4 linked regions of the Drosophila melanogaster genome follow. The protein of the gene in region 3 interacts with the protein of the main gene of each other region in a pairwise test. Each region holds a gene or a part of one and is shown on either strand. Other genes may lie near its edges.

The links.
Region 1: the proteins of brwl (region 3) and hmw interact in a two-hybrid assay, tested with the Drosophila melanogaster proteins (one large-scale study listed by BioGRID).
Region 2: the proteins of brwl (region 3) and Amun interact in a two-hybrid assay, tested with the Drosophila melanogaster proteins (one large-scale study listed by BioGRID).
Region 4: the proteins of brwl (region 3) and CG1598 interact in a two-hybrid assay, tested with the Drosophila melanogaster proteins (one large-scale study listed by BioGRID).

The regions. Positions count from the first base shown.
Region 1 is NT_033777.3:18,359,974-18,364,782, reverse strand, and holds hmw (hemingway), read right to left. Parts: upstream 2,790-4,809; 5' UTR 2,658-2,789; coding exon 2,454-2,657; intron 2,382-2,453; coding exon 1,767-2,381; intron 1,712-1,766; coding exon 1,014-1,711; intron 960-1,013; coding exon 800-959; intron 738-799; coding exon 600-737; 3' UTR 506-599; downstream 1-505. Other genes in the region: WRNexo (WRN exonuclease), read left to right, coding at 18-173. UniProt on the Drosophila melanogaster protein: Involved in assembly and/or maintenance of motile cilia. Required during spermatogenesis for axoneme elongation. Necessary for optimal function of the chordotonal (hearing) organs.
Region 2 is NC_004354.4:11,709,614-11,716,621, forward strand, and holds Amun (amun), read right to left. Parts: upstream 5,418-7,008; 5' UTR 4,945-5,417; exon of another isoform or gene 4,862-4,944; intron 4,705-4,861; exon of another isoform or gene 4,627-4,704; intron 4,599-4,626; exon of another isoform or gene 4,409-4,598; intron 4,235-4,408; exon of another isoform or gene 4,196-4,234; 5' UTR 4,142-4,195; exon of another isoform or gene 4,076-4,141; 5' UTR 3,952-4,075; coding exon 3,156-3,951; intron 2,754-3,155; coding exon 1,897-2,753; 3' UTR 507-1,896; downstream 1-506.
Region 3 is NT_033779.5:9,567,322-9,574,085, reverse strand, and holds brwl (brickwall), read right to left. Parts: upstream 5,197-6,764; 5' UTR 4,888-5,196; intron 3,816-4,887; exon of another isoform or gene 2,672-3,815; intron 2,610-2,671; 5' UTR 2,578-2,609; coding exon 2,333-2,577; intron 2,245-2,332; coding exon 2,192-2,244; intron 2,131-2,191; coding exon 1,121-2,130; 3' UTR 514-1,120; downstream 1-513. Other genes in the region: Mtpalpha (mitochondrial trifunctional protein alpha subunit), read left to right, coding at 1-316.
Region 4 is NT_033778.4:7,537,732-7,541,431, forward strand, and holds CG1598 (uncharacterized protein), read right to left. Parts: upstream 1,966-3,700; 5' UTR 1,860-1,965; coding exon 1,747-1,859; intron 1,684-1,746; coding exon 1,566-1,683; intron 1,482-1,565; coding exon 1,041-1,481; intron 982-1,040; coding exon 643-981; 3' UTR 501-642; downstream 1-500. Other genes in the region: Gpo2 (glycerophosphate oxidase 2), read left to right, coding at 1-452. UniProt on the Drosophila melanogaster protein: ATPase required for the post-translational delivery of tail-anchored (TA) proteins to the endoplasmic reticulum. Recognizes and selectively binds the transmembrane domain of TA proteins in the cytosol.

The sequences.
Region 1 (4,809 bases), on a different chromosome or scaffold from region 3:
CTTAGTTTTCTTTTCAGATTGGTCAGGTTATCTATCGTGAATTGGAACGCCGCGAGAAGGTCAAGATTAAAAATGAAGAAGAGTTCAAGGAAAAGAACGGAGATGCTGCCTTTAAAGCAATGAAAGCATTGGGAGAGACATTTCTGACCAAGATCAACGAGGTGACTCTGTAAGCTTTTCTTTGAAGTTTCAGATATGCCATCTAATTCCTTTTACCTGTTTAAATATTTTCGCCTTCTTTCATTTATTTTCGGGAGTTTTTCTTAGTTTAATTTGTTACCAACGTGCTGCAAAATAATTGTTAAATTTAATATTGCTATCCAATTCGATTATTGATTACGATAACATTTATAGAATTGTTTATACCTAAATGTACAAATTATAAACACATTTTGATGCATTGACTTTGATCGGAACGAAATTTTACTAGTACTATACATTTTTGCATGAATTCTAGTTGGTTTATAAATTCCCTTAAAATTATATTAAGATTATACAGCTTTTTACACTTTTCAACTTGCAATAAATTTTAATTTTGTAAATTCGCATAAACACTTTTAATTACTTAATGAACACAGTTGGAGCTGCCTGTGGAGGCGTCACTTGAATTGCGGTCGCCGTGTGCCGATGGCCTCCAGTTTCCGCTTGAGCAGATCGTTGTCCAGGTCGATCTGGCGCTGATTCTTCTTCCGGTTCACAGCTGCGCTGGACAGTCGTGGCGCTGGAGGTGTCTGTCGCTGTATGACATTGTTAAGGAAGAGGTTTAATATTGGACATAAGTTCTATATTATGTACTCACCTTCTCGGGCCCATTGATCTTTATGCTACTGGTGCTAGCCTTGATCGTCGCCGTGGGCTTCACAGTCATCATCTTGCGCAAAAGAATCTGATTCTGGCGCTCGATCTCGCGCACTTGGGGATTCGTAAAGCTAAAGCTTTTGCGCCCAAGGTTTTTATAGCTATGCAGATGTAATTATATGTAATAGAGTGTATAAGTATTATAAGTTACTTACTTAATCTTATCATTAGAGCAGCGGGAACGCGACACATTGATTTGATACTCGCAACCGTCGCTGTTGAAGGTGCTTGGAGTTCCGCTAACGGCTCGCCTGTTTAACTCCATTGGTTTGCGCTGTTGTGGATGCCTCATGAGTCCGTCGCCCTGGCCACATTCGTCTACGAGGTAGCCTTCGCCCAAGCCGAAGTTCGCTGCCAGGTCATGGGGCAACTCGTGACCCATATCCAGTTTCTGCTCGTGTTCAATTAAATCCGATTCCGAGGGACATCTGCATTTGGGTCTGGGTAGCTTGGAAGATCGCGTCGTGAGTAGTGCCTCCTGAGAACGCTCCATCCGCATTGTCAGGGGGGGAATTCCTCCACCCAAGCTCCTAGCACTGGTCATAGTCGTTTCCGTCATCGATGACATCTCGGATTCAGTGTCCCCGCGCCTGTCACTTCGTTGCTGCAACATCTCCGTGGCCATGGCAAGCTGCTCGAAGGCTTGGCTATTTGGCGCTCCTCCATTGATCTGGAATGACTTCATGATCAATTCCGACATTTGGGTCATCTGCTGCTCCAGGTACCGAACCCTCGCCAGATCGGGCTGTGATGTTGGCATGTGTTCTTCTGTTTGATTTTCTTCGGGTTGTTCCGGTTCTTCCGGTTCTTCCTGCTCTTTTAGCGATTGCGAATCCTTAGCAGTAAGTGGTTGCTGTGAGTAGGTGTTTAATTATCTGTAGTGAGATATTATCTAATCCATTATTTACCTGCTTTCGTAATCTAGGATACTTCACCAAGGTGTTGTCTGTTTCGTCTCCTGATGCACACATGGTGACCACACTGTGCTCACTACTGTTATCACTGGCATCGACCAGCGAAACAATGTCCTTCTGGGGCGGTGGTAACTCCTTCTGGACCGTCTTTTTGCACACAGCTGTTACAATTGGTTCGTCCTCCTCCAGCTGCTCCACTTCCACATCCGTGCCCTCCTCCTCGTCGCTGTCGTCGGCGGATTGACGACCCATGGATCCATCGCTTTGGGCGTCGTCTTCGTCTCCTGGAATTTCTTCCTCCTCTTCTTCGATTTCCTCGACTTCAGCATCCTCGTCATCATTCTCGTCCTCATTATCGTTATCATTTTCGCCATCACCTTCGTCATCATCCTCGTCTTCAGCCTCGTCCTCATCCTTAACCCGAGAATGGGCACTGCCTGGCATCAGAGTGCGCACCGAGGGCGTCTCATCCTCCGGAGGCGTGTCCACTCGCAGACTTAGTTGATTTACCTCGGCTACCGTCTTGGTGATGACCACTTGGCTTTCGTCGTCAGAGGAGGAACTCAGGTAGGACACCACTCGGGCGCCCAAATAGCGACGGGCGTGTGGCTGTGGGCGCGATGCAGGTTGCGGATTAAGGCTGAACTCGGAAATAGTCAGCTCCTGGTGAGGAGGACTTACGTTGCCGCTAAGAAACTCTTCTTTCACATCGCTCTCGCTTTGGGTGTCGCTCTCCCCCAACAGAAGAGCGTCACTTGGTTTTGACTCCTCTGGCTCAATATACTCAATCTCTTCTTCCTCCACCTCCACCTCCGACTCCGAGTCCTCCTCGAAGGACTCCTCTCCATAGGACTCTTCATCTGAGTGTTCTCCAGCCCCCGACATCCTGTATGCTTATTCTTCGTCGGTTCTCTGATTAAGTTCCTTTCGTCGTTTGTAGTGTATTTTGTTTTTTTTGGGGTATTAGCGTTGTCACCCGTGTGTTTTTCTTTAGTTTGTACTGAGAACTGCCGAAACTCCTAGGCCTTTCAAACTTTGAATTTTGATTTCAGCTTGAGTAGTTGCTATTTGTTCACTGAGTTTGATTTTGCAGCCATTTCGATGCGCTCTTATGATTGACACCTTTGCGCCCACATTGGGGCAGGTGCTCCTCCGTCTCCGGTCTACCCCAAGTTGGAAAAACTGGGCGCATACCGCGCTTCTTGGCTCAACTTTGACTCCTTGGTTGCATTGCGGTGGCGCTGCCAACCGTCGACTGGAGCTCAGGTGAGCGGAGTCCGCATGCCCACCGCTAACCCCTCGTCGCAGCACCCACCACTTGACACCTGGGAATTTATTTATTCTAGCCAGCGGTTGTCCTGGGCAACAGAGCAGGCGCAGGCGGTTTGTTGTTGGTTGCCTCAGCAGCACTTTGCCGGCTCTTGTTGCGTTAATTATGGAAAACACTGAATAAATTAACCAACAGCACTGGAAATTGATATAAAGTGATATTGAAATAATACAAAAGTTATTCAGCAAGTATATAGCGGATTTACTTTTTAAGCACCGGGTTTAAGCTGCGAACACTAGAACTTTTTGCCGGATATATAATATTGATTTGTGTTTATATATTTCTTTTTTCTCAAGACCATATTACTTTTAACCACTAGCTTAAGAATTACAAGTTTAAAGCCCAATGATTCATATGCTTAATGGATTAAAAGTTAGGAAATTGAAATTGAAGATTGGATTTTCTAACTTGGTCATAAATGTATTATAAAGTGCAATAATAAACTCTGAACAATAAATATTAATCCATACATATATCTATAATAGTTAGTATATCTTGGTGATTTTATTTCTTCTACTTGGTAAACTAAACCATTATTTCCTGCTATGCATTTTCAAATATCTTAAACAATTAAGAATCCCCATTAGCTCCATGTGGCGCCGCCTCTGTGGTCAGGAACTTGCGCTCCAGCACTTTCTCTCCCTCGCCCAGCGACTCCATTCTCGGGGTATTTTCTCTGAGTGACTCTCACGAAATCTGACAGTTGAATGAAAGGCGAAGCGGCGTCGAAATCCGCCGCCTGCCAGTTGCAAATTGTAAATATTGCGAGCGGCGATGGCAGTGCTCCCGAATCGCTGCTTCAAATCCTCTCCAGAGTCATGTGGCCATAAGGCAGTGCGCATGGGCGTTGAGAGTGGCCCCCTCGTGGGTACGATTCCCCCCTGGATTTCCTCGCTTTGAGCGAAGCGGCTGCTGTTGGCCAGCGGGCAATTCATTTGGCCAAGAAGCTTCGTGGCGTGCGGGCGTGTTGCTGAGCCGGAAAATGCGCGCGTAAACCGTGATAGATGTGTGTGAAAATTGTGGCCCGCAACGGGAAAATTGGCAGAGCAAACCAGCAAGTGTGTAGCGTGCCATGTGCCTGTGTTTGTGGAGTGCGTGAATGAAGTGGCACGGTATCGTAGCGGAAATCGTTTGCTGGCCCATCGACTGGCCAGCCAGTGCGGGTAATTAGCGTGGCTAAGAAAAGTCAACAACTAGGCCAACTGAATAACCGGTGACAAGCCCTTCAAGCGTCAACGGCTTTAAAAACGCTTACGAAAAAAATGAGTGGAACGTGCGGCGTATACGCAATATGGGCTTGTAAAATCAAGCGCAAGAGTGGAATAAGCGGCGTATACGCAATCTTGACCAGCTTTTATAACGGCAACATACGGTGTATACGGCATATACGCAAATTCTGCTTCCATTTGCCGTTTTAGTTGTTTAATCAATAGCAAATAGTTGAGGGAAGTTTCACTTTTTGGCAGTCGCTCTTGCCTTTGTCCTTTGCATGCGTTGGTTGATGTTCCTTTGCAACAGTCGCCTAAGTAATTGCAAATTGCGTGCCGCAAGTTTACAAGTTATTTCCGTTTCCTCGCTCGCTCGCTCTCCCTCTCTCTTCCGCGCCCCATCTCTCTTTTCGGGCTGCAGCAATTTGGCTAAGAGCTTGTGACGGCCGCGGGGGTTGCGGGGGCGGCTAGGTGGGTCAAAAGGCGCAGCCACACGACA
Region 2 (7,008 bases), on a different chromosome or scaffold from region 3:
CGGTGCATAGTCTCAATTAACTCCGATCCGGCCAGCAACCAAGGCGATCCAATGACATGGTCGGCGGGGCTAGGATTCCTCTTCGATTTATAGATATTTTATAAAGGATATATGGACGTATGGGATGGTGGCCAGCTGGAATGCAAGTTTCACGGAGCTCGATCAATGCCAGAATGAAATTGACTGATGGGCCGGTGGTCTATATCGCCGATCGAGTTGGCCAGGTAGTCGTGGCAAGTCAAATTAAGTGCAAAAGTATTCTATATATTTCCGTCCTGTTCTGTGTTTTCTTTTGATTAGCACTAGAGCTGTGTTGTTAGCACACCATGCTATCGATGCATAGACATCGATACATCTGCCCACTTGAAGAGCGTTGCCATATTCGGACGAGCCATTACATTATTTTCGATAAGTCGATGACTAGTTCCAACGGCTCTCGATGTAACGCCTATTCAAACACCAAATGCAAAAACCCCATTGAAGTGATAAAACAATTGAAGATGATTGTGGGATGTTTTCAGTTTTATGCCGTGTTTTCTTAATATTTCACATTTTATTCGCACTTATGCTACTAATAATAAAAATGATTATAATTTTCAGATGTGTTGTTACTTTCAAAGTTCCGACCGATCTGCGAGTGGTATGGGTCGTGGATATCGGGGAAACCACCCGGTACCGGCAACCCAAACCACGCGGAGATCGGACGACCTGCGTCGGGTGCAATTAAGATGCGGGCCGTATGCTTCCGTATCTTCTTTTTTCTCTTTTGGAAATCAAATGAAACGTGATTATCGTATAAATTATAAAAAATTCAGTATATGTAAAGTTAAAAAAAAGTTTTACACATAATATAAATTATATTATTATAATTACGACCACAAAAATTTCTTAGTGTTGAAATGAGTTTTGTTTTGTTTTGTTTCTTCCGAGTGTTTGTGTGTTTATGTGTGTGGGGAGGGGGTGTATTCTGTGTGCGGCGTGTTTTGAGTGAGAGAGATAGAGAGAGAGCGCGAGTTGCTGCGGGTCGACGGTCGAAGGGGGTGGTGGTGGAGTTGGTGGTGGGGGGCTTGGTTTATACGACAAGTTTTGATTTATTATTAAATTTAAATACCTATGTATATAAATTACGTTTCTGTTTATTATAATTATTGTTGTTTCCATCTTAATCATTTTGTTTTCTTTCGCTTTTTATTTTTCATATTTTTTTTTTGTTTTTTGTATGTAGTGGGCAACTGCGGCATTTGTAAATTTCTTTATATTTAAATGTTCCTTTTGACTGTGTAAAAATATCGATTTCCATCTGATCTTGTTTTGTAGTTACTATTCATGTATGCATTTGCTTTTCGTTTTAGTTAAATTACGTTAACGCTGCATTCTGAACTCTCTGTTGCTGCTGATTCTGCTGCTTGTTCTTCGGATTCTTGATCGGATTCTTCTGATTCTTCATCTTGGCGCGCTTTCTATGCTATTGAAATGTTGTTTGTGGTGCTGCTTACTGCCTTCTGGATCGGGATCCTATATTCCGCTCTGATCTGATCGGTTATGTTCATGTTATGTCGGGTTGTGTGTGTCTGTGTTGTGTGTATGAGAGTGGAGTGTGTTGGGTGTTCGCATCTCGTTATATGTTGTATATATATATATATATATGTGTATATATATATATATATAATATATTATATGTATGTATAGTTAGTTGCTTAATAGTAGAATTTCTTGAATGTTGTTGTGGTAAAGTGTAGGTAATGTTGCTCTATGTCTCTATGTCGACTCAACTGCACTACATACATATGTCTTTCCACCGGATACGCGGCGAACCGAAACGTGCCGAGCCGAACCGATCCCCGTTTCTGACCCGCATCCGCATCCGTATCCGTATTTCGTTTCCTCACCTCCGCCTCATTCGCTGCGCAGTTTCTTTAGATCCGGTGACTTCTCCCCCACGCCCACACCCACTCCGCCGGCGTTCTTCAGCTCCATATCGCAGTGCAGGGCAGTACGCTTCTGTCCAATGGCTGGTGCCGAGTCTGCACCCGCTGCTACCGGTGAAACCGCATCCACCGCCTTGTTCGCCGCCAGCTGCTGCAGTTTACTGTCCCTCACAATGCCGTTGCTGCTATTGCTCTCGTCAGCCTCTAGCTCCGCCTCATTATCCTCCTCCTCGTCCAGCTCATCTTCCTCCTCGTCCTCCGCCTCATCCTCATCCTCGTCGCCCAGGACGCCGTTCCCGTTACCATTTCCATTGGCTGGTGCTGCAGTCGCTTTGCTGGCTGGCTGTGGTGCTGCTGTAACCGCTTCCTCTTCTGCCAAAGGAGCAGGCTGACCGTTGTTGGTGATCGAATTGTTAGTTTTGTGGGGCTGGCTCGGCGACTGCTTTTGATTCTGATTCTGGCTCGAGTGCTGTGTGGGAGTCAGGATGGGCAGGCTGTTGGTCTTGGGCGGCGCCTCCTGATTGCTTTCAGAGTCCGAGGCGAGCGGTGTTCCACTCGAACCGATGCCAATGCCAATGTCTAGGGCGATGGGCTCACCGTCCTCTGTGGAAGTGGTGGCCGTTGTCTGTGTGGTGCCATCGTTGTCATCGATGATCGGCTCCTGGGAGGTGGAATCGTTCGAAACAAAGTTGGAGTCACCGTCCTGCAGGGCGGCGCCAACGGCAGCTGCGTTGTTCTTGGCCTCGCCCGACTGTAGAGGCGTCAGAGCAGCCGGGTTGGTGTTCTCATTCTCTGTCTCCGATTCTGTAGCAGTGTTGCGACCGCCTGGGGGATAGAAAGCATTGGATTAGCCATCAATGGTCAATTTGTTAACTCGGCGAACTGCGGTCAGAGTAATCAAACAAAGAAACTCTGTGTTTGAAATTATTAGACATCCTAACACTTTTGAAAAGCTGCCAACAAGTATAAGCTACTGATAATATGTTAAAAGTTAACTATTTTACAGTAGTAACTTTACAATTCCTCCTTTTTATTTAACATGACGCCACGAGTAACGAATAAATTGTAAATTGTAAATTGACCACTAGGCTACTACAAACATAATGTTTAATGGAAAATTCCGGATAGGAAAAATACTTGGTTTCTGGAAAAGACCACTCGGTTTGAGTGTTTTGTTGCAAGGGTGTATACTCAAGCCGCAGTTATCGGATCATCTTAGCTGCTTACCTGCTCCTTGGCTTTCGTCGTCCAAATCAACACCCACACCATCGTTGGTATCGTCGCCATCGAGCACCTTGCTGCTGTTGCCGTTTGTGCTGAGTGAACCGGTGCCAGTGGAGGCGCCGGATCCAGGCGGCGGCATATCGTCGAGCATCTCGGGACTGAGATCATTGGCCACATAGTGTGACCAGAGGGCCAGCTCCACGCGATGAGGCGACCAGTGCGGCGTATCCCCGCCCACCTCCGCATTGAGGCGCTCCACGGTGGCCTGAATGTGATTGACGAAGTTGAGGTACTCCTTGGTGGTGTAATCGATGCCCTCGATCTCTGGTATGGCCATCAGGCACTCGTCGGCCATGAATGGTGCCGAATCGGGAGCTGCGGCTGCCAGCAGTGCACTGGCCATTGTGGTGCCAACGCCCTTGAGGTTCGATAAAGCTGTGATCGCCTGCTCCAGATTGGGCAGCTTGCGGAAGGCCTTCTTTGTCTCCTGGATGACGGCGCGCGGTGTGTTGACCTTGACCAGGTAGGATAGCTGCGGATAGAATTTGCCGCGCGACTGCTTCCACTTCATCGACTGGACGAGCTCATCGTATACCATATGCGCGTCCTTGCCGCGTGCCTTAATCAATTTGGGCAGTTCATTCTGATACCACTGATCCAGGCGGATCAGCTCTTGCGGCTTCTTGCAGCGCTTCTCGGCCTTTAGCTTAAGAACCTGGGGATAGAGCTGGTAGCAGTACTCGAACTGTTTGGTGCTCCCGGTCTCGAAGAACGAGACCGTCGCCTTGCCGTTGGACATCTTCTGCGGATGCGGATGTGTCGTTGTCGCCTGCTAATGATTGGTGGTATCGCTGTATCTCCTTATCGTGGTATCTATCGCCTTGGGGCCCAGGACGTTGGCTGATCCGCAAGTGACCGGCTGGCTATATATGCGGCAATATATGTACTTTGGTGTAAGCTACTATACGCCAAATCAATTTATTGCTTACTGTTTAGTCTCCTGCTTTTCCTGTCCGTTCCGAGCTGCTCCTGTCAACGTACTGCTATTCGTGCGTTGAGAGTTCCCGGCGAGAAAGAAGCGAGTACGTGAGAGACAGAGAGAATGCGAGTGCGAGAGAGGGAGCACGAAGAAGCAGCAACGCAAAGGAGAGTGGATGAAAAGAGAAGAAAAGAGGCACACAATTAGGTTTACAGTTACGATTACATATGCAAGGGGGATCGGTGCGGTGGCATAGGGAGGTAGTTCGATTGATTACTGTTAATGCTGCTGCTGCTGCGGCCGTGTCTCTGTTGTTTGTTGTATTTACTCAATCCGATAATCGCTCACTATTTGCCAAAAATCTGCTCGCTTCCGCCGCCGTTTGCACAGCACACAAATCGAATTTTTACAGTGCTGTCGTCGGGTTCTTTTTAGTCCGCCATGCACTCACACAGTCAAACTGACAGGCACACGGATGGACACACACACACTTACTCAGCACACTCGCTCTCGCACACCCAAAGAGAGCCAGGCGCTCATACACAGGCAAAAACACGCACACAACACACACACTGACTTAAACACGCACACACTTATATACTGAGGCAACAACAGCAGCAGCAGAAAATTTCTTTTTCATCTAGGTTTTCAAAAAAAATACGAACGCGAGCATTAAATAAACGAATGCTACTATTTTTCGCTGTTGTTGTTGTTTGTGCTTTTTTCGTACCTCTTGTCTTTTTGGCAAACGGTGAGAACAGCTTTTCACTAGCGCACTGCACGCACACAGATGAGTGGGTGAACAACAAATACCTTTTAGTTAGTCGCCGCCAGTCTTCCTTTCCGTCCACATCCAAACAACTACTCCAATGCTTTGCTGTTTTTCTGTGTTGCCTCTGCTTTGCTTTGCTTCGCTTCGCCTCTGTGCTTGTGCTGTGCTGCGTGCTTCGTGCTGTGCCCGTGCTGTGCTGCTTCTTCTTCTTCCTCTGCTGTTTCAGTTTCTGCTTTCTGCCTGCAGGGGCGCCGTTGACAACTGACAAATAAAAAGGGGTTACTCTGTTCTCGAAATGAGCACGCCACCGAAGGCACAACAAAAAATTAAAAAGGATCGGAGCGGAGCGATGCAGCTGTGCGATGTGCTGCTAACTCGTGTGACGGGAATTGGGAATTGGGATTGCGAATGGGAATGGGAGGGAATACGAGAAGCGAATATGGGAATGACGAACGACGACGAACCGGGAACAGGAGTTGTCGTTCTATCTCGCCCGCACTCGGTGCCCGAATGTATCTGTATCTCTCTGGCACCCTCGGCGTTCCATTTCATTTTGCCGGCGACGTCCGTGCTCTCTGCCGCCGCTCTGCCATCGCCTCTGCCGCTGCGTTTATGCGCAGTGCGTCATTACACGAATACCTGTTTAAAGCGGAGGCATAAACGCGGCTTTGTCGATCAACATCCATGTTACCGAAACCCATGTTCGAGTTATAGAAACTTCGAGTAACAAATATCTATATTCTAGCAATGTTTACCCTTATTAGCTTAGTTAGTGCAATTATGTTTCATGTTTTTACAAACAGCAGAATGTTTTTAACAATAGTTATCTCTATATTCAGGTCCTTCAATTAAATCAAAAAGGAATGGGTTTTGTGAGTGGGTTGGGCTCCAGTGAGACTTGTTAATAATTTAAGAATTCGCGATATTCTAGTGTAAACAGCGCGTCACTGCATGTTCGCTGCTTTTGTTGTGCCAGTTGCCAGCGACAGCGGCGTCGTGTCATTATTCATATTCATGAGGGGGTGCGTCAGGTTTGCTGAATTTTACTGACTTGTTTGCGCGAACCGAAATTATTTATGGTTCAGCACGAAGAGCGATAGAAATTCATGCATATGTTGTTGGTTGGTTAAAAAGTTGCCCTTACATGCAGTTAAGTGCATATAATTTGTCTACTTGCGCATTTATTAAAAATGCATACATATTAAATAATGTACTTAATTACTCAGCGGTTTGAGGGTTGGAGCATTTACAGATGACACTGTAGTGATCAAATGGTAGCTATACATGTATAAATATCTAAAATATTACAAAACTATTCCAGCGTTCAAGCATTAACTAATTCGAGAACAGCTGCTGGTTCCATAATCGAGTACACACGTGTGCTACTCAAAGTCTAAGCTGAGAGAGCGGTCGAGCGGCAACTTGATATTTAAAAAACAGAACCCTACTTAACAGTCGACTCAAGTTCGATCCCCCCGCAGGTACGCCCCTCAGTTCACCTATCGCTCGTTTGCCTTTGCCGCCATCATTCGCTGTTGCCGTTTTTACCCTATTCGTCGAGCAACATACATAGCAGCTGCAATTTTGCTGTTTCTGTTTGTGGCTTCCATGTGCCTGCCATTCGTTCATTATACCCTTGTATAGAGCATTATCACTTTTTCAGATAGCGGCAATCCTATCTAATACATTATCAATATGATCAATTATATGGTTTCATATGTACTTCAGTGCGATTGGCTTTCCAATTTGATGATCTACTGAAATAAGCTTTTATCAATTGCTGCAAAATCGATCAAGCGAAATTTAATTTATTAGAAAATATTCCACTATAGAGCATCAAAACGTCGGCTAGACCCAGATAGCTTCCTTTTCTCGCGGCGATATGCGTGCGATATATCGCATCGATACTCGATGCGGATGCCCATCTGTTTTGCGACATTTTCCCGCTTTCCCTGTTGCAAAACCCGTTTTTCGAATTATAAATTCGAGTATTTTTTAAAACTTATAATGATTCATTTTCTAAAATCCCCACTGGAGAGCGACATTCGAATTCGTAGTGGTTGAATTTGTATTCTCTCTTTGCCATGACACAGCTGTATGTATTA
Region 3 (6,764 bases):
AGCCAATGCCCCCGAGGATCTGACGCTGCGTATGGTATCCCGCTTCATCAACGAAGCCGTGCTCTGTCTGGAGGAGAAGATTCTGGACAGTCCGCTGGAGGGCGATGTCGGAGCCGTGTTCGGCCTGGGCTTCCCGCCATTCTCCGGTGGTCCCTTCCGCTGGGTCGATCAGTATGGAGCCGGCAAACTGGTCAGCAAGATGCAATCCTATGCTGAGCTGTACGGAGCTCCCTTCAAGCCCGCTCAGACCCTGCTCGACATGGCTAAGGACCCGTCGAAGAAGTTCTACCCCAAGACTGGCTCCTCGAAGTTGTAGATCCGATCCAATCCGATCCCAGCCTCCGTAGAGCCGCTAACGAAATTTAGCTTTTAGTGCGAAGATAAGTCGTGTCCTTGTGCATTTCTCTCAGAAAGGAAACCTATTGTGGTCCATCGCTGCCTAAAAAATGGGGCAAGGCCCAATAAAAAGCCCTCTGTTGAAGTTGTCGACAATTAAATTAAAGTTTACCGTGTAATTTTCCATACTTTCATTTGTTTATTATTACACACAGCAGTTTGATATCGATCTATCTCTTTATCCCTCTTTGTTTACTCAAACGGAAATTCATTTGTACACAGATTCTATAGTTTAGGTTTCAATAGCAGCGTATATACAGTGTCCTTAAACTAACATATTTTCGAAGCAGCCATTTTCTAAAATCTTGAAATCTATTTTCACAATTCCTTAACTGCTACGTCAGAACTAAATGGCTTATAAGGAGACCTCATTACTTCTTGTTCGTTGAATGTGTTCGATTTCGGAATAGCTTTAAATGTATATATTAGTTGTTCATATATATATGTATATATTTGGTCATGCAAGTTCTTGCAGCTCTTTGTAAATGGACCATTCATAATGGTTGGTCAAAATCGAAACAATTCGCGGACTTGAAAGAATTGAAGGCCTTTGAAAACATACCCATCTTATTGAGTAGACACAACACATTAACAGTGAGCGGACTGAAGTAGCTCAGATTCGAATTAGTACCCATTCCAGCTTCAGATCCCCCTTAAGCTTCTAACTAAACTTATCCTATCCCTAGTTAAGGATTAGTGACTTTCCGATACACTTTCTATTCCTTTATTGTTTCCTCCAATCGCGTCCAGAGCTGCGCCTTTGATGCTTAACAGATCCCCCATTGCTGCTACCGCCACTTCCGTTGACTACGCCAGATACGCCTCCTCCGTTGCTGTGATCCTGGGCGGGATATCGGGTTACAACGTCGTCAATTAGCTCCAGAATGCCAATCTTGAACTTGCGACGTTGCTGTGGAGTGAGAGTCGCCAGATCTGGGAGAATGCTGCGGAAGAACTCCATGTCCGCCACTTCCGACGAACTCAGTCCGCCGTAAATACTTCCTGCATTCGTCATCGTGCTGGTGGCCTCGCATTCCGTCTTGATTCTTTTCGTGCTCCCCGGTTCGTAGGATGCTGGGTGATGATCCATGGACAATGTCAAAGGATGTGGATGCGAGTGCGGATGGTAGTGCAGAGGCGGTGGTGTGCCATGTCCACCATCGCTGTAGATGAGTTGCGAGCCCGTCTCGGCCAGCTGCACATCTGGAATGAAGTTTTTCATGCTATCCGCACTAGCGGTATCGCTTCTGGCCGGTGAATTGCCTCCGCCTCCTTGAAGGGCAGAACTGCGAGTGGGCGTGGACGAAGTACGATTCATACCCAGGGTGTTGGTAACCGCGGGATCAAAGGCGTCGATGGTCTCCTCATCGTCCTTCTCCGATATCGAGTACTTCATCTCCAAGACCTCCATACTCTCACCATTATGGACGTCGTTGTTATTATTATTATTATTGATGCTAGTGTTGGCGCAGTACTTGTGCTCCTCGGTCGCATGGAGTGCTGGATGCAGGAGAAATGGTTGATGCTGCAAATGCTGCTGGGACATCTGGTACAGAGTGGCCAGACTGTTGTTCCCCTCCAAAGAGTTACGGCTGGACTTCAGGAAGGGCAGCAGGAACGCCATGTGCTCGGTCAGGTAGTATGGCTTGTGCTGCGGCTCCGATCCGGATTGCTGCTTTATGTAGCGGGATAGGCAGGCCCGAAGGTTTCGCCATCGCTCCTTGCAATGGATCACTAAAGATTATGAAAGTTCTGATTAATTTAAGGGATTAATGTTTTTCCTATTATTGCTTACCGCTTTCTCTTGTCTCCTTTGAAATAAGCACCCAAGCCTTTTCCTGATTATCCCTGTAAAAAGTTATTTAAATTAGTTAAGACTGAACGTACGGAACGATCTGGATCGTATCTTCTGGCAGCCGATGGACTCGCCACTCACCTGTTGCGGTACTCGGGCACCTTCTTGTCGTAGAGACACTTGTGGGTGCGCACCAGGTTGACGAAGCGGATGTTGAAGTCCTCGTCCGCCTGCATCACTCGGTTGGTGGATCCAATAGAGGCGCCTGCTGTTCCGGATCCCGAACCCGTTGGACTGTGGTGGTTGTAGGCGGTGGTGCCGTTGGAGGTTCGCTCCTCGTGCTCGCTGCTGTGGTTGTTGCTGCTGCTGCGGGTTGAGGTGGTCATATTCGTTGGCGGTATCGTCCCTCACAGAGCCACTAAAAGATACGTTTTAAATTTGAAGTCTATTTAGAGAAATGTTAAAATAAACAGCGATTACCAGGGGTTTGAACGGGTTTGCTGTCATGTTGCACGTTATGATCTCAAGAAATGGCAACTTCAAGTTAAGTTAGCCACTCCAATATTTGATTTTTAGACTTTCCTATCGATGTATGTATGTACCATACATACATATGTATTTATATACAATCCTATTTATTTTTGAGCTGGCAAACAAACAGAATTCTCAACGACTCTTTTTCAGCTTTTTTGCCTTTTCTGCTGGGGTTTTGTGTTCGGTTTCTTTTCGTTTTGTCGTGTTATTTGTTTGTGTGTTGGTTTCTGTTCAGTTCGGTTCAGTTGTGTTCTGTTCAGTTCTGTTCCGCTGTCTGTTGCTGCTGTCTCAGCAAACGAGGCATAGAGCTTTTCGCTCATATATATTTCGTGAAACTTAATAAAACATTGTTGTAGCCGTGGCCGTTGTTGTCGTTGTAGTTGTAGTTGTAGCTGTAGTTGCCATTATATTCAGTACAGTTTGGCTAGCTGGATAGGATAGGAAAGCATTGCGTTGCGTTGATGTTGACAACTCGGCGGCGAAACGACGACAGCCAGCAACTTTGTTTACTTTTCATATTATTATAGCCACAGCAGCGACAATGGCAGCGGCCATAAAAATAACAGGCAATCTGGCTGTTTGTGCTGCTTGTTTGTGTTTTTGTTGCCGTTTGTTTCTGTTGCTGTTGCTGCTGGCGTCGAAAGCTGAAAGCTTTTGTCTGCTTCACTGATAACAGCAACAACAGCACAACTAAAGCAGCAGCAACAAAACAACAGTAACAACAACAACAGAATGCTTCAGCAACAACAGCAACACTCTGCTGCAGCAGCAGCAATTCAGTGCAGCAAGCAATGTTGTGTTGCAATATCCGAAAACATGTTGGCCAAAACCAAATCCGCTGAATAGTCACGAATATGTGTGCGAGTACCCACCGCACTCACTGCTCACTACTTGCAAACGATTCGCTCTCGCACCTGCGACTACCTGTTTCGATTCTAATCAGCCCACTCCACCTGTCCATTCACTCGACTGCCTACCCTTTTGCCGTCAGCCCCTTTCTATCGCGGCGACACTTGGGCCGCTCTTAAATCTCCGACAGTTTTCCCGCCACTTTCAGCACCTTTTGGGCCCACCAGTTTTGCAAAGCGAAAAACGTGCGCACAGTGGGATGGAAGTAATCGAAAAAGGGCATTACCAAAAGTATATCAAGGAAAAATATAATAACAATTTCCACATTGCTTGGAAACCTATTAGATGGTATTTTATATGTATATATATATTTTTTGGACATCTGTAAGTAAATCTCTGGAAAATCGTAGGTAATAATTCCCTTCAACTATTAATCTTAATATCAGGTTCAGAGTCCAATAAGTTTTCTATTTTTTCGGACATAAAAAAGTAGCAAGAGAAAACTCTAGCACTCTAAGCTGAACCAAACAAAAAATTAATATTGCTTTCCATTTTCGTAACACTTTGGTCCCACTGTGCGCTGGCAGCATTGTTGTGTTCTTTGGCCAGTCATCATTATTATCAGCGAACATCATTATCAAGGCGAACGTTGCTCGCGTGTTTTGGCTCTGCCCGTTGTTGTTTTTGTTAATGTTATTGTTGGATTGCTGTGTGCGGTGTGGGCGGGGGGAAAATGGAATGGAATGGGAATGGCGACTGGAAGGGGCAGAAAAACAACTAACCTGGGCTATATGGCAATATTTATTGTATTACGTCTATTTAACATAAACATATCAGCATGAGCGCGTACTAATTCCTTGAGAAATGTTCATGTTTATCTATTAACAACGGGGCTCAGCAAAAAGTACAGCAACGTACAAATCGAAAAACACAGAATCAGCAACAGCCAAACACAAAACCCAACGGAAAACAAAAACAACAACAAAAAAAAAGAATTTATTTCTAAAGCTAACAAAACACAGAAAACTTGCAGAAATACCCGGCCCGCTCTTTGTTTCCCTCCACCAACAAAAATACATACAGTATATTGTATATTCCGTGGCCCAATGACAGCAACAACAACAATCGCAATAACTTTGTTAGATAGACAACAACAACAACAACAATACACACAATACACACACACATTCACAGGCAATCGCACACAAGGAAACAATATGGCATATAGAATTTTTCTTTCTGCTGCTTATCAGGCTGTTATTGTTGCTGTTGTTCCTAACTTGTGATGTTGTTCCAAGCAAAGAATTCATTACCTTTTGGTTGGTATTCGTCGTTGGATTACAGAAAAACTCCTGTTGCAGAGGCGATTTCAAAACGCAACAACTCCTTGCTCGCAGCGATTTCAAAACGACACGATGCACGGCACACAAATAAAACGGCGCCAAAAATATTTTTGTTGCTGCTGCTGCTGCAGCGACCGACGACTGACGTAACGTTCAAAAATGTTGAATTCGAAAACTCGCGGTCGAGTCGACGGTGCACGGCGCTCGGGAATCGGCGGCGGACTGTTGGATTGTTGGCAATGTCGTATGTTTCGCGTACCAAGCGACCAAGGCGACTAAGCACACAGAGAAAAACACACAGACACAGCCACAAATGCGACTGCTGCCCTGCGAGAGCGAGCGGTGCACTGAGAGAAATAGAGTTGTCACTTGGCAATTGTGAAATGTAATATAAAGATGTTTTAAATTGGTAATGTATTATTAGCCCCAAACTTAATTAAAGGGAAAAATATAAAATTATTTGCAGACTTTATTAATGATCCATGTAAGCGGTATTAATTTAATAGTTATGAGGTTCAAACAAGTACCAATTAAACACGTATTCCCTCAGTGTATCAACCAGTATCTATCGGCTACGTAGAACACTGAAGCAACAGCAACAACATGACACGAGTGGACGGCGAGCAAACAGAGAACAACGCACACTCTCCGCCGCACACACACAGATACTAACACGGACACACACCAATGCGCCAATACAAACACACACAGCTGGCTGCTCAACAGCAGGGAACTTTTTATTGTTGTTGCTGGCAACGAACAACAAATAAGACAAACAATGCACACGCACACGAATGACGAGTGTTTTCGAGTCGGAGAAACGGCAACTGCGCGGTACGAAATGCAAAGATACAGATACAATGAGTTGGTTGTCGGTTGTGGAGGGTAGGAAAGGGACACAGGCCAACAAAAATAGTTGCACTGCATCAAGAGTGTTGCCTGTCGTTAGAGGCTAGTCACCCACCCCGAAAGGATCTCTCAAAGGATCAGCGGACTACTAGGTAATCCTGATCGAAATCGATTGATTCAAATGGATTTTCAAAAGATATATCATGTTCAAGATCTTTTTGTTGGGCAATACAATTTTTACATATGTATGTTGATTGTTATGTTGAATATAACTTCAGGCTTATTATTACTGTCTAATGGTAATGTTTCTATTTATTTCCACGTCCATTAACATGTATAATTGGTTTTCCCCAAAATATGTTAGTGAACAGGTGACAGTCGCAAATAGAAAATACACATTTTTTACGCTGTAACTCTGACAAAAAAAATAAAACACAGGAACCCAAATAGTTTACCTGAAAACTTACCTGCGAATTTCCAGTGATCATAATTCCATTGTGCGCTTCTTCTTCTTCTTTGCTCTAACTCTCAGGGAACATTGAAACAACAACAGTTGCTTACTCAGCACCGCACACAAACATAAACTGCGCTCTCACGGACACTACAACAGCTGTCGCTCTCAGAACCAACAACAAAGCGAGCAAACAAAAATCATGTTGTTGTTGCTCACAAAGCTTTGCAATTTCTCTGCCGCTAACATCGCTGCTTTTGTGTAGTTGTTGCTGCCGCCCGAGTTGCCAACAAGCTTTCCAACAACATTTGTTTACATTTCAAATTTATTAGGCGAGCTTTTCGGACATTTGAACAAGCTTCGTGGGCTACTCGCTAGGTGGCGCATGCTACTTCCGGTATAGATTTGAACAGCTATTTTTTTTAATTTACTTCAGAAATAAAATAAGCATTTATGCATATTTAAATATAAATAGATAAATATACCTGTTTCAGTTTCGTTAGAATGCACAATTTACTCTTGACTAAATGACTTCCGAGCAAACAAA
Region 4 (3,700 bases), on a different chromosome or scaffold from region 3:
ACTGGTCGCGAGATCAAATTAAAAAGCAGATCCGCCAGACGCGAACTTTTCTTAACTCCCAGATGGGCCAGCTGACCAAGGAGAGCGCTTCGCAGATGAGCATTCCCATTAAGATGAGCGTGCGCCAAGTGCGCAAGTTTGCCGGGCAGTTCAGGCAAATGGATGATAACAATACGGGGTACGTGTCGATTGCAGACTGCTGCAAGGCAATGAAAACGATGGGCGTAAAGGAGGTGCCCGTCGACCTGATGCACGATGTCCTGCGGGACATTGATGTCCATGCCCAGGGCAAGGTGAACCTGTATGAGTTCCTTCTGCTCATGTCGGCTATTGTGCAGGGCAACACCGAGTACCTGCGGTACGCACGGCTGTATCTGGACCACAAAAGGCAGATGCAAGGCAGCAACTTTCCCACCGTAATGCAAATGGAGCGTGCCGGGGGCGGTCTTTGAAAGTATCATTCGTTGTAACCCTCTCCAGTTTGGAATACTGCATCCGTTAAGCGTTGTCTACGCATTACACGTCGAAGCAGATCCCTTCGGGGATCGCTGCCTCAACTTTAATTTATTTTACGCACTTTCTGTTCACACAAACTAAGGAAGAAACTTACAAACGGATGGGTAAAGGGTTGGACGGGCTATCCTATTCCTTGGGCTCGCCCTTGGGGTTGTAGGGCTTCATAAGGTTCTCGGAGAAAGAACGGATGCTCTCTGGACCGCGCACCTCTTTCTCGAGGAGCGGCAACTTGGTTACGTGGAAGTCTTCATACAGGTCGGCAATCTGGTCCAGGTACTTCTCCTGAATCTTGAAGCGGGAGGCGCACATGCTGCACGAGTCGTGCGAGTTCTGCAGAAACAGCAGTTGGTTTACAATGATGTTGTGGACGTCGATGCCGCACTTGGTTAGCTCTTGCACAAGTCGTTCCGTCTCGTACAGCGAGAAGAACTCTGCTATGCACACGCAGACGAATGTAGTTTGATCCTGCCGAAGGACGAATGCGGATTAGGCGTTGTACGAGCTAAATACATGTTTCTACGTACTGGGTTCTTGAACTGCTCGTTGACCTGGGTGATAACGCGCAGCATGTCGTCCAGCTTCTGGGAGAGTGTGTCAGCGTTCACATCAGCCATGCCCAGCATGGAGACGAACTGTGACAGCAGGGGCGCCACCTTCATCTTGAGCCGCAGCAGCTTGCCCAGCCCCTTCTCCACCACCTGGGGAAATGCAATCAGACGCAGCGTGTGTCCCGTGGGCGCCGTGTCGAAGACGACTACCGAGAAGTTCATGCCCTTGACCAGCTTCATAACCTCTGCATAGCTCATCGCCTCGTCGATGCCGGGCAGGGCGTTGATCATCTCCTGCATGACGCCCTTGCTCACGCGCAGCGCCTCATTTTCGCCATCGAAGTACTCCTCGGGCAGCTCGTTGAGACCGGCATTTGGATCGATTTCCATGGCGAACAGGTTGTCAAAGCCATTTACCTGGTTGCGGAAAAGGAATTGCGATGTGCTTTAGTTTAGCTTATACAATGGTAAATGACTTCATTTCCGGATTCTTCCACCAACCTTTGTCGGCACCTTGGTGAACTTCTGATCGAATGCATCCGATATGTTGTGCGCCGGATCTGTGGATATGATTAGCACGGATTCGCGCACTTTCGACAGCTGAACGGCTAGGCTAGAACTATGTTTAACACGAAGATTAATTAGATCAACCGAGAAAGTTGGCTTGTTGTTGTTGTTTTACCTGCAAGTCGTCTTGCCCACGCCGCCTTTTCCGCCCACGAAGATCCACTTGAGGGAGTCCTGCTCGACGAGATTCTGCAGGCTGGGCTCCAGGGGCTCCAAATTGTCGGCCATAATGCCCACTAAAGCGAGACACGTATGAAATTAGTTGAAATTAATAATTGCTTATAAGCAATGAATATGACTTCTGGCGTGCAGAGTGACCGTTTTTAGTATGCATACGTATAAGTTGATAGGCACTAAAATCAGCTGATCACGAAGCACTGCCAGGGATGGATGCTCATTTGGCGCCAAAGGAAAATTATTTGAAAATAAAATTTTGCAAATCTCAATAAACTTGACAAAAGTGAGAACAAAACTGCCAGCGGTGTGAAACTAACATAAGTTTCAACTAATTGTTGTTGTTATAACAATAGCAAAAAAATATTCTCAAATCTGTTGCTGCGTACATGCTCAAAGCTCCGCCGCTTTTATCGTGCCTATTAAATGCACAAAGCGCGCTCGCAGCCCAAGAAAATCACAATAAGTGCCGCGGATGCTTGACCCGTCCCCGTGTTCCCCGCGCCCGCTCTACCCATCACTGTTAATTGTGCAAATCGCGAGCTTATCAAAACCCAAGTGTCGGCGAGAAAATGCGAGCAGCAAGGGAGCACAAACCCAAGTGGCTATGGACTACTAAAAATAGTTGTGAAAACACCTTCGCCGTTGGGCGTCCGCGTTAAATAGCTTCGATTTTTGGTATCTTCGTGTCATTATGGGCTTCACCCCAAAACCACATCGATTTCCGTCCATTGCCGCCTAGTTTTGTCGTTTACTGAACTCGGCGTATATAGAGTTATTTCAACTTATCACAGAATACGGAAGCTGCGCTGTAAAATAATACTTATTCCAAGAGCTAGACCATTTTTGAGTGACTCTGTGGATGTTATTGTGAGTGGATTGCAAACATTGGATAAAACTTATTGAAAATAACATTTGATTTGCACTTAAATCAGATATATTTAGACGATCATTTTAACGGGGATTATTAAATTAATAAACGACAAAGGTATGTACTCAAATAAAAGAAATTGTTTGTTTTCATAAAACTGCTTCCATGCATGTATACTGATAGTGGATAAATACAGTTTTAATATAGTTTTAAAAATGTATAGTATTTAAACAAAAATTAGATGGAAGGGATATATATATATATATATATATTTAATGGGCCATTGGTTTGGACGATATTACATCAAAAAAATATACAAGATGAATGTAATATTTGAACAAAACCCTTTTTATCTTTTTTTTTGCAATTATAAATATACATATATGTATATCTAATAGTTGAGACAGTTGACTATATTTTTTTCTGTTGATTTATTTAAAAAAACTGATAACTGTGAACCTTAAAGTTAAACTTTAACACTTAATTTCTGTTCTGCGCTGTGCCCACTTGTGTGGGCCTGAATACGTAAGAAAGTTTATCATACTCCTCGATATTGAATGCGAAAAATGTTATCAAAGTTGATGAGAAAGTTTTCCTATCGCCTGTTTAAGCAGCTAAATTAAAAACAGATCAATTAACGTTAAAATCACACACGCTTGACAATTTGTTGATATTAACTTATCGCCAAGCTGAAAATATATTGTACAACCAAAAATATTTTTTTATTTTGATACAGAACGGCTTATTGAAAACCCATTTATGGCTGTTAAAAGTTGAACTGAAAAAATTGAGAACAAATCGCTTGGTGAAAAAACAAGAGTGTTTTTGCCTCATATGCGTGTAAATCCGTTTTATGCGACTGAAACGATTCAATCATTCTGGCAGTGCTTTTTAAAATAAAGCGATAAAGTTGGCTGGATGATTTATTTATTTGCCCAGCCCTGGGCTTTCGAGATCCGCTTTTTGTCTGTGCGTGCGTGCGTTTGTTGGCCCATGAAATATGAGCGCATTAAATTTTATTATA